Neodiprion lecontei: one gene and its partner. Each later gene encodes a partner of the first gene's protein in a complex. Links are inferred from orthologs where the notes say so. Each region holds a gene or a part of one and is shown in the gene's direction. Other genes may lie near its edges.

Region 1 (5,289 bases):
TAAAATGCATTGAGGAAAATACCCCAGTTTTTTTTTTTTCATTTTTGTCAGATTACATTAAATGAAACTTGGACCATTCACATGTTTGAAGGCAATTTTATTTTTACTTTCAATAGATTTTTATTTTTACAATTGCGAATTATTATTGTTGTTAATACTTGTTTACTTTTATCATTTTGTTCGCAACCTAAAATCTCTGTGAATTTCCGATTTACATGCTTGTAATACTGAAACTATAACTATATAGCAATTATTTGCCTCTCTGCTCTTTGCGAATTGTTATTCGTAATACTTGCTTAAACCTGAAGTTCATAATACAATGATCTACAACTGATAATATATATTGTCTAGATGCGTATTTATATAAAAAAGTTCTAAATTTACTTTAAATATTTAAGTGTACAGTGGTTTTATTATTGAAAATGATCTTAAGCTTCCGCTTGCCATAGTAATGAGTTGTTAATAGACTATTATGAATAAGCTCTAATAATAATAAAATAACAAAAATACAAATAATTAATATTTTATATTGCGTAGCTTTGTAAATATTTTTCATTAAGTTTTCTGTCGATATCGATTCTCTGTAATGTAACTGACATAATTTATACAATAATACATATACATATTATATATGTGTTTGTATATGATCACAATCTAACGATTATAAGATAACGTTAATGTGTATACAAACGTTAAATTTTTGGCATAATAACGCACTTTGGCATACTAGATAATCATACATCGAAATCTGTTACATGTCTCATCCAGATATTTCGTACTTTGAAAGGAGTAAAGCGAAAAATTGAATCTTTCATTATCCACCACGTGGCTAGATTGGTGGTTTTTTTTTTACACCTCCAAGCTACGACACATTATTTTTATGTAAATGTGTGTTGTCTATTAAACTTATCCATCGCTGTTCAATAGTAGCGCGAAGTAATTATTCACAATTGCATGGATTATACATGTAACGTAATTTCTACTTTTCCACAATTTGAAATGTTGAGAATTTATTCTATACTATTTGGGGGCATAACAAATGCATCAAATAGTGGAATATTTTTTAGGAAGTGGAATGTCTCAAGTCCAATTAATTAATACTTCATGGCCAAAAACATATTCATTTCCACAGATATGCTAATTTCGCACCTAAACAAACCATAATACTTAGGTGCTGTAACACACCTAAGCTTGAATGTTTCCTAGAATGAACGCGATTTCTTTTTTTAAAAATATAATGCTAGTTATGCGATGAGATCAACTGAAAAACGATCTGCGTATTGAATGGTGCATTGGAATATATATATATATATATATATATATATATATATATATATCTTAATACAATCTTAATACATAAAAGTTTCTCCATTTCACACAATATGCATGTTCTATTTGCACACGTAATAATGAAAGTGTGAAAAAAAAAATTAACATTTCTTCAAACATAATACAATCCATACTACGTTGGATATATATCTTCGGTCAACATATACTTTAATGTTGAGAAGTTTATAATCGTTGAAGTTTTTGTACAAAATTTATTATCCGCAGTAGTGGTCAAAGAATTCCTCGAAGTGAAATGTCTCGTTACAGGATTTTCTGCCGATATAGGAATGATAATAAAACTAAGTCACTTGGTACACAGGTAATAATATCCTAGTTACATAACGCAAGAACAAACGGAAAAAAATACTTAATAATATAAAAAATATTATGTGTCGATATCCTCCACGCTGTAGAAATAATAGATGTGTAAATAAAACTGCAACCTAGCATAAAAGAAAACAGAACAAAAGGAAACAAAAACAACAATGCGTATAATCTTTATTTTGTTTCTCCGACATATTTCTCACAGCTATGGAATATAAATTTGAATCAATAAAAACTAATTGCAGTTACAATTTTTCCCCTACCTCTTTCCTTCATTTGAAATAAACTGCAAGTCCCGCCAACGAACATGTGATCCAATTTTAAGGTGCGTTACATACATGGAGCGAGTTAAGGCAATCGCAGTACACTCTCTCTCGCTCTGCGCCGTGATTGGCTGAGCACCGTCTCTGCTCCAATCACAGCGAAGAGCGAGAGAAACAGAGTGTACTCAAATCACTCGATCAACTTCTGACGACCGCACGAGGCGCTGAAAGCGCCGTTCGTCGGCGTTTAGAACTTCCGTGTACCATACGGAGATGAAACGATGATCTAATCGGGCAACAACGACACACCCACCCCTAAATGCCCGCTTCAACGAACTCTTTATCGTGTAGGGGGGGAGGTCTCCCCGGGGTGCAACAACAAACCAGAAGTCTAGACGACGCAAATGGAATGAGAAATTGAATTGGGGTCAAATCCGATAAAGAGACAGGGGTACGAGATCGGATCGGCGCAAAGCGCGATATGAGAATTGGAAATCAATCGCTGAGTCGACTACCTTGGTTGAAGAGAGCTAGTTTCCGGTGGGAAGAAGAGACGGCGCTGATCCCGTCCGCCGTCGTCGTCGTCGGCAGTGGAATTTTCATAATCAAAGCGCAAAGCGAGGGTCAGTCAGGTGTTGAAGCGAAGTTAGCCCGCTGACCGCTGTCAAACGGCTGACGTTACGCCGATGATCAAGTTGAATTGATAATAAATAAACATACGCGAGTGACGACGACGACGACGAGTCGGGCCGATTCGAGCGGGATATATGACAAGATAATGATCTCGCGGTCGGGCACTGCTGTTTGTTTAGAATTAATAACGCTCGGTTGCAGTTTGCGGTAACGGTTAAACACGACGATTCTCGATCGGAGAGGTGATCAGTTTATATATTCACGCCGAAATGGCTGCCGCTGACGGAGCCACGGCCGACGAACTCAGGGCCGAAATCGAGAGGCTGTCGAGGGAACTTGATCTAGCATCAACCGAGAAGGTACAATCAGCCCAGTACGGACTCGCCCTTCTTGAGGAGAAATCAACCCTGCAGCAGAGGTGCGACAACCTCGAAACGCTCTATGAAAACGCCAGGCACGATCTCGAGATTACGCAAGAGGTTAGTATAACCCCGCGGCTCCGACACCGAGGCCCACCCACTTCCTTTACCGTACATACTGAACACTCGCCGATCCTTTTTTCTCTGTCTCTGTTCCTTTCGCTGTCGCACCTTTTCCACCTAGCGAGGAACTAGTTTCTAACTGATCTAAATACCGCATTGGTAATTGATCTATCCTAACGTGGGCGTCTCTTCATTCGTTCCATCTTGAAATTTAGTAGGTTACACCTAATTTTTCTGCGGAGACAATTTTTAACCCTTTAATATCACTTCGCTGTACGTCAGATTTCTGTGTTTCGCTCTCAAACAGCTGCACGGATAACTTATCGATCGTCTTATCTGATTCGCACTCTGCGTCATCCACGATACAGATACTGATCTAACTTTTTGTTTAATGCACAACAAGTCTAGCAACGAACATGTCGTTGCAAAAAAGTTTGCCAAGGAATAGTTTTCATTGTGCGATTGAGTTTCACCTTGAATTAGGAACAAAATTAAACACCGCGAACTGAATTCACCAACACCAATTACAAATAAATTTTGAGAGAAATTACATGGTCTTGAATACCAAAAGCGTGTCATTCGATAAACTTTAGCAAATCGATGCTCATTTTTTTTCATCGAGTTAATGAATAATTTCCAATGTCTCGCTGAAAAATACATTAGAGTCGTGAAAAATCTCTTCCCAGACAAAATCAGCAATAATTGTTTGAAATTGGATGATTTTTGTGCTCTTGGCGCTAAAATAGTAGCACAGTAATGTCAATGATTAAGCGTTTTTCACCCTAATTGTTGGTTATTAATCTTCTGCTGTCTGATCGGAACATTATCTTAATCCAATCTAACACAACATATCAATCTGATATAATACAATCTAACTTAAGACAATCTAACATAAATTCCACTTCATTTCTCAAACTTATATTACATATTTCATTATCCTTATCACTTTTTCGATCTAACTGTGATTGCTTGCAATATTTTTATAATTCTTCTCATCATTGACTTTGATTCTTCATTTCCTTGATATTACAACTATTAAAGCGAATTCCAGGCAGCGATATCCGAAGAAACAAGTTCAAAATGAGCACAAACTCGTTTGTTTTTCACTCTCTTAATTATTGCGTTGTAAAATTTCGCTTTGGTCTAATTTTGATGGAAAATTTGCCGAATACTCATTGTGGGGAACACTAATTGAATAATCGTCAATGAGATTAGTCTGAGCCAGACATTCAAAGGGTCTATAAATCAATCAAAGCCCTATTGCCTGACTTCATTTCAGAAATTAGACTCTATTCTCGGTTTTATTATCGGACTAGTCAGAACCCATTTTGCTAATTGAAGAGACAATAAATTTCATAAGACATATTTCTTCTTGTTTACTTGATCCTGCGAGTAAAGGTGAATTTCTTGCGCTTCACTTTTTCTATTTTCCACTTAAGCTTCAGATAAAAATTAACTGTGATCCATGATGTAATAATAATTTCCATACAAGCTAGCAAACTTGACTTGTGGATCGTTGTCACTAGTGCCCGTCATACGACCTTCAGGTAAAAACAGAATCGCCTACTCATTTCATTATGGTGACTCAGACTTGTGAAATTCTATCTTGATTACTGTCTTCCTTAAAAGTAATTTGAACAAAATTAAAACATCTAGATATTTTTGTTCCAACTATTGAATAGAATTTTCAATGGTTCTTGACATACCAGCGGTCCTAAAGATATATCTTGAATTTTATGAACGAATATCATTTTCTGGAAATTTTACCGATCTCATAATTTTTTGATCATTTGACCTCTTTTGGTTGGAATTGTTATTCAATTTTTTTTTTTTGTCTACCTATTAAAAACAGTTTGCTATCTTGTGAAAAAATATTGAGAATTAATAGACAGAAAACATACAAAGAGAATAAAAGCTGTATGTATTATAAACAGTACTGTATAAATTTATCGAAGCGTCTGTACTCAGTTAAAACACAAATAAAGAATTATTATTTATATCCTCGTTGAAGCTTTTGTTTTGAAAAAATATTCTTCTGCAATGCACTGTCAATCAAGCATCGAAGTTACTCGGAAAATACATACCAGAAAATGGAATCTTTAATCTTGGGAAAGTCTGGAAATATTGACTATAATATTTAGCTCAATATTCTATCATTGCGCTATTATTATGTGCGATATAAGATCCGAAAAGTCATCACGCAAATGCTTGAATGTAAATGTAATGAACTTCAATCTGAAAGATAGCGGTTGTAAAAT
Region 2 (6,487 bases), on another chromosome or scaffold:
TTTACGATTTCCGCATACGTCCACGTCTGGTTTTCAATTTGCGTCTCGTGCATCTTTGGCATCGATTTTGCACGCCGTCTTGTCAAGTGTATAAAAAATTATGGTATACAAAAACCAAGATTTTTTGTTGGTGAAAATTGTATCCGGTCCTCCTTTGTGAGACATTTTTTCACATTTTATAACTTCATATTACGCACTTACGAATGCCTGCCTTCAGCACGTGGGCATTGGACATAAGATATAATGGTCGCGCTTCCGAGACTTGAGAAAAGTTAAACGGCACGCACACGTGCGAAACGTGTGCCAGCAGTACAGAAATCGTTCCGTTCGCTGCTAAAATTCTTGCATGACGTAAGAAGAATCGGTGACGCCGAATAGCGCTTTTGTCCCACCTTCCCGGTTACTCTACTCATTCGGTTTTAATTTATGAATTGACGGCGATGGTCGATAGTCTGATGGTGGTCGAGGACACGAGATACAGGTGAAAGTATCAATGGATATTATTTTACGTGTATATAAAATGAACTGCGTGATTCAAGTTGAATTGCACGGCTAATGCCGGGTGTAATTTACGCGGCGTGCGTCGTTCGCGCTCTTATTGGATTGCTCGTTAAATATATTTACACCTGTTAAACAATTAAACGAGCGATACAAATTGATTACTTCGAATTGAAAACTTATACCATCATCGCTCTAGGAGAAGAACCGAAAAACGGACGACGTGACAGAGTTGCAAGAGGGGGGACGCTGTGATTTTCTCATTACAACCGACGCTACTTCATTATCTGCTTGCAGATGATGACGTCCGCGGCAGAGTACTGAGTCGAGGCTGGAGGAGCCCCGAAGCTTGCGGTGAGGTCCTTGAAGCCCAGATCTGCACCCGAGTTACTAAGGATTATCCAGGTCATCCGAGGATCATGAAAATGGTCTTGTCTCAACGTCAGCGGGAGGAGTTGTAAGTCTCTATGTATCTCGGTATCTCGCTGGAACGGTTTTTATAGTCATCATTCGTCTGTTCATCCAGTCGGCGGCTACGCGTTATTATTCAGTCGTGCGCGGGCGTCACGGAGGGATGCGATCCTGAAAGGGATCAATAACACGCTCCCCTTCATCCCTCTGCCGTCGCTCGCGCCGACGCCGGCCGCGTATCCGCGTGGTGGCTTTCGACCCGCCCACCCTGACTGACGTCACCCTCAACCTTTCCTGCCGGTGCTTACCGCCTATAGACCGGAATTATACTACGATGCTTGGCTTGCTCATTGATGCTGCAGAATTTAAAGAAAGATCGATTGTGAAGGCGCTAGGCGGTGTTTTTCGCCGCACTCCTAAGGGTTTCGAAGCATGTAGGAACACGACGGAAAACCAAATAATTCGGGAAACGCGCGTTCAAGTAGAACTTTGTAATTATCTCGATTTTGATTCCATCTCTTCGGGAATTCATCAACCTTTGTTAATCCCGTCAGAATTTTCTCACTTTCATTTCACGCGTATCTATAGTACATTTCTGTTATCGTCAATGTATTTTACGTTACACACGGTTCGAAGTATCGATGTATTTTCGACGATTCGTTCAGAACTCGACCCCTTACCCAACTTAGGTTTGAAGTTAGGGTTTTGGTATAAGAGAATTGTCCTTTTTACCGTTTGGTATGATAGACAAGAGTTTTGCATCCTGTATGGTTTCAGATTTTGCCAATCAATAGAAATATTCAACTTTTTTTTACTCAAATTTTAAATATACTGTGTAATGAAATGTAAGGAAATTTCGATTCCGCGAAATCCTTCCATTCATAAAATTTACTTGTGCCGAGCTCAAAACTGGAATTATCACCAAGTATACAATACATATTATCAGAAAGTATAACATTTTTGTTACGAAATTATACTTTTCCAAAAAATATCCGCTACTCACAAAAAATGCACTCATGTAGATTGTTTTGAGAAGAGAACTGAACTTTTTGCTATACATAGACAAAAGTTACAGATTCTCCATGCTTATGTTGCTCATAAAACACTTCAATAATGTTGATTGAAAATTCACTTGAAATACCCCAGTCCTTTTCAACAACCTACTAGACTAGATGGTGGAAATTGCCAATTCATTGCATGAGTATATGCTCTACAGGTACGATCAAAAGTTTACTGTGATTTATATGGAACAAGATAAGTTGTTAAATGAATAAAAAATCATTTACGTTGCAGAAACAAGGCGATTGCAGACTATCTGAGTAGCAACGGATATCAAGATGCCCTGGAAGCGTTCAAGAAGGAAGCTGACATGCCTGGTGAGGTGGAGCGGAAATACGGTGGGTTGCTCGAGAAGAAGTGGACTTCAGTCATAAGACTACAAAAAAAGGTATGCATGTCATACCCATTCACATCAATTGGATACCTTGGGTCATACATGTTACATGATAAAATCCACCAATGTTATTTCATATTTATAGGTCATGGAACTCGAGTCGAAACTATCAGAGGCAGAAAAAGAATTTATTGAGGGAGCGCCTACTAGGGGTAAGAGATCACCGACCGAATGGATTCCGAGGCCACCTGAAAAGTTCTGTCTCTCTGGGCATAGGGCGCCTGTAAACAGAGTAATTTTCCACCCAGTATTCAGCCTTATGGTTTCTGCCAGTGAAGACGCCACGCTAAAGGTGAGTTTCAATACAATTTAACATGGCATGTGCAAGTAGGATCTCCTTGATCATTCTTGGCTAACAATACCGTGTAAAATTGTCACATGTAAATATATTTGATTATGAACCTCCTCAATTGTACAACTCCCACGTGTATATCTCATGTATACCCGCAGAATTTGAATTATTAATATTCCCTAGGTGTGGGATTTCGAAAGCGGAGAATTTGAGCGAACACTCAAAGGCCACACGGACAGTGTTCAAGATATTGCATTCGATACTACTGGAAAGCTCTTGGTATCCTGCAGCGCTGACATGTCAATCAAGCTGTGGGACTTTCAACAGTCATTTGCCTGCATCAAGACGATGCACGGGCATGACCACAACGTTAGTTCGGTAGCATTCATGCCGCAAGGAGACTTTATTGTCAGCGCGTCACGGGACAAGACCATAAAAATGTGGGAGGTAAGGAGTAGGGTGCAAAATTCACACTGAAAAGCAGTTATGGTATTTCTCTTGATATTTCTTTTAGAGAAAGGATTGTATGTGACAAACGATTTAATATCACCAATTTGTTTGGTCATAGGTTGCTACTGGTTATTGTGTAAAAACGCTTGCGGGGCACAGAGAATGGGTCCGTATGGCACGGGTGAGTCCTTGCGGCGAACTGATTGCAAGCTGCTCAAACGACCAGACTGTCAGGGTATGGCACGTTGCAACTAAAGAAACCAAGGTACTAAAAATGCTCCTTAATTGTACCCTCCATTAATTTTTATCCAGTAAATAATCAATCCTATGAATAACATGATATAAACTATACTTGGTTCCTTACAGGTCGAACTGAGGGACCACGATCATGTTGTGGAATGTATCGCGTGGGCCCCGGAAACATCGCGTGGAGCGATCAACGCTGCAGCTGGAGCAGACAATAAAGGGGCACACGAGGGACCCTTCCTGGCATCTGGATCCCGAGACAAGACAATACGCGTGTGGGACGTTGGGGCTGGGGTATGTCTATTCACTCTCCAAGGGCATGATAACTGGGTACGTGGAATAGTGTTCCACCCAGGTGGTAAATATATAGTCAGTGCATCAGACGATAAGACGCTGCGGGTATGGGACACCCGCAACAAACGGTCAATGAAGACGCTTGAGGCACACATGCACTTCTGCACGTCTGTTGGTGAGTTTTTTGGTTTTCTCCGCTTTTTAATTAAATACTCGAGGGAATATTGCAATAAGTGGGCTAGCCCTTCAGCCGCTATGAGAATGGAGGCATGATATACATCATCTTTTGTATTGTAGATTTTCACAAGAGCCATCCATACGTGGTAAGCGGTAGCGTGGATCAGACGGTAAAGGTTTGGGAATGCCGCTAGTCACCCAGTTTCTGAAATTACTGAAACTTAACAAAAGTCCAGTTCCATATGGGGATGGCACAGAAGTAAGCTGCTGAAAAGCTATCGTACATACTATTATAAAAACACATAAGCATATACGATTAAGAGATCCTTAATTAATTTATAATAAAGTATAATAAATTAGTAATTGTAATAATATTGTTTAACAGTAATAAAGTATTCAAATTAAAGGGCTACAAACGGCTTTAAGAGGCTTCTGAAGAGGTATCGTATGCCATAAGAAAATAGAGAAATTTATCGTGTACAATGATATTGTTGTAAGAAAAAAATGTTTCAAGAGACAAGCAGACTCGATTGGTTCGCTAAATTGTAAGTTCCAGATTAGTGGCGCAATAAATAGGTCTATCGGTCAAGTAACGAAATGTAAAGCCCTTTGACTGCTTTCGATATTTTTGCGATCAAGCTTTGAATAAATTTATCACGCCGTGATACAATATATTATTGGATATACAGACCACGATTATCTTAATGCACTCCTGAGAAAAATTTCATTCATTTCAGTCCGTTTTGCGGGAAGAGTTTCCGCCTGACAGTTATTTGAAACGTGAAGTAAGGTTTCAGAGTCTCTTGTTGAGGCCTCTTGAGCTTGATGATAAAATTATGAAATGATAATTATTAGAGCCAGTTTTGACTTCAGTTAATACCAGATTGAATCAAATTCTTTACAACATATCGCTTGTTCGACGTGATTTTCTATCTTCATATTTTTGTCGCGGATGCAAAACATGTTATCAATTGATAGAATAAATTGCATGCAAGATACAGTAGCCTCGTTGAATAAGTAAATATTATCTAGAGCTTGATCGTTGATCGATCATCATTAACGGACGTTAATGACTATACCATATATACACTTCTAAAATCCTTCACCCTGTAATTAGCTTGACAGTTTCTTCTGGAACATCGATTATTGTCCAAACGCAAGTCTTCATCCAAAACCTAAGCTCGAGAAGTTCTGAAGTTGACCTGGCTCTACTATTTACGTAACGCTATTACTTTATTTATATACATACACGTATAATATACTATTGCTATGCTATACTATTCTACTACACATTGAATATTAACCATTAATCTACCTTATACCCTATTGTGACTACTGTACTCAAATTATCTATTTCATCACACTAAAAAATTGAACAAAATTTTAAGAACCCAGTATACATATACTTTGATTACAATTAATTGCCCAGCAATGAGAAATCGTTATGATTATACTAATTTGAATTAGAAAATTGCGGTAATATAATAATATTCTTTACCAATAACGTTTTGATCTATGGTCAAGCGTAACGTTGGACTGGCTGCTGTTACTCAAATGATTTTTGACGTTAAATTCTTCGCGTTCTTACCAAGATTTAATTTCTCAATTTCGGTGGAAAGTTTGTTGGAATTTGTAACGTCAACTTTTTTTCAATGCTGGACAAACTTCTTGACGTGCATTATTAACGTAATATTACTATATACAGTAAATTAATAGCAAATTACCAATAAAATTTGTGAAATTGAAAAATATTGATTACACTTGTGTATGGAGATCATAATTTCTGTAGCTTAACAATGAATGGGGTGTGAAACGAAGTATACTAGGATACTAAGTAGGATAGTACTGTTATAATATGAGTAGGAACACTTGGAATACGTGTAGAAATTAGAGCACACACATACGACTTGCAACCAAATAGACGTGATGAATAATAATTAATTTTAAAATAGTAACCACTCAATATTGTACCCTGCCCATCTACTTTCCTTGTTTACGTCCTTTGTCTTCATCTTCTCAAACGATGATGGTATTAAAGTATTATATTCTTTAATAAAAAATTGTCTCCAAAAACTACATTCTAACTTACAGAGTATTCTTTCTCACTATCTTTTGCCGACTGTTGTGTGCTCTATTGCTTTCAATAAATCTAAGTAGATTATCACTCATATCGAAGGAAGATTTTATTGCAAAAAAAAGCATGTTTCATAAAATACTTAAAATATCTGGATGTACACCAAGGGTTGTGGAATTAGTCTTTTTCTTAGCTTATTCGGAGTAAATTACGGGCGATACTCGAACACAAGGCTGGCATTTCTGCTGGTGGGGTGTTTTCCGCAGCTAAAATAGCATTGCAAGCCGCTATTGTCTCGTGGACTGATCTGGCCTTCATCCAGATCTTTCCATTCATACCTATGGCGATTTCGTAGGCCTGTTCTTTGGCAAGCAATGTCAACAGCTGACAACTTGGGTGAAGCAATTTCCTCGCCAAACTAAGGGAACAATCAAACAGCATCCCATCTGGACTTAAGACACCTAACTTGCCCTTCTTCCCATGAGAATCGACGCATATCAACTCCGGTTCCATGCCTTTGCTAGCCACCAGTAGCTTGGCAAAAATCACGTCACCTACGACAATGTCAGGTCGATTCTTTTTTGTTGCTCCT

The links.
Region 2: protein bicaudal D (region 1) and lissencephaly-1 homolog share a complex: the UniProt entries of both Caenorhabditis elegans proteins name them as parts of the dynein-regulating complex. The link is inferred for Neodiprion lecontei from reciprocal best matches to the Caenorhabditis elegans genes bicd-1 and lis-1.

Annotation. Positions count from the first base shown.
Region 1 is NC_060260.1:37,767,658-37,772,946, forward strand, and holds the start of protein bicaudal D, read left to right. Parts: upstream 1-2,230; 5' UTR 2,231-2,818; coding exon 2,819-3,028; intron 3,029-5,289. UniProt on the Caenorhabditis elegans protein: Part of a complex with dlc-1 and egal-1, which is recruited to the nuclear envelope by unc-83, where in turn, it recruits dynein to the nuclear surface and regulates nuclear migration in hypodermal precursor cells.
Region 2 is NC_060264.1:3,214,677-3,221,163, reverse strand, and holds lissencephaly-1 homolog, read left to right. Parts: upstream 1-2,066; 5' UTR 2,067-2,081; coding exon 2,082-2,125; intron 2,126-2,202; coding exon 2,203-2,356; intron 2,357-2,447; coding exon 2,448-2,654; intron 2,655-2,837; coding exon 2,838-3,101; intron 3,102-3,222; coding exon 3,223-3,369; intron 3,370-3,470; coding exon 3,471-3,819; intron 3,820-3,941; coding exon 3,942-4,015; 3' UTR 4,016-5,772; downstream 5,773-6,487. Other genes in the region: exosome complex component RRP40, read right to left, coding at 6,085-6,487. UniProt on the Caenorhabditis elegans protein: Positively regulates the activity of the minus-end directed microtubule motor protein dynein. May enhance dynein-mediated microtubule sliding by targeting dynein to the microtubule plus end.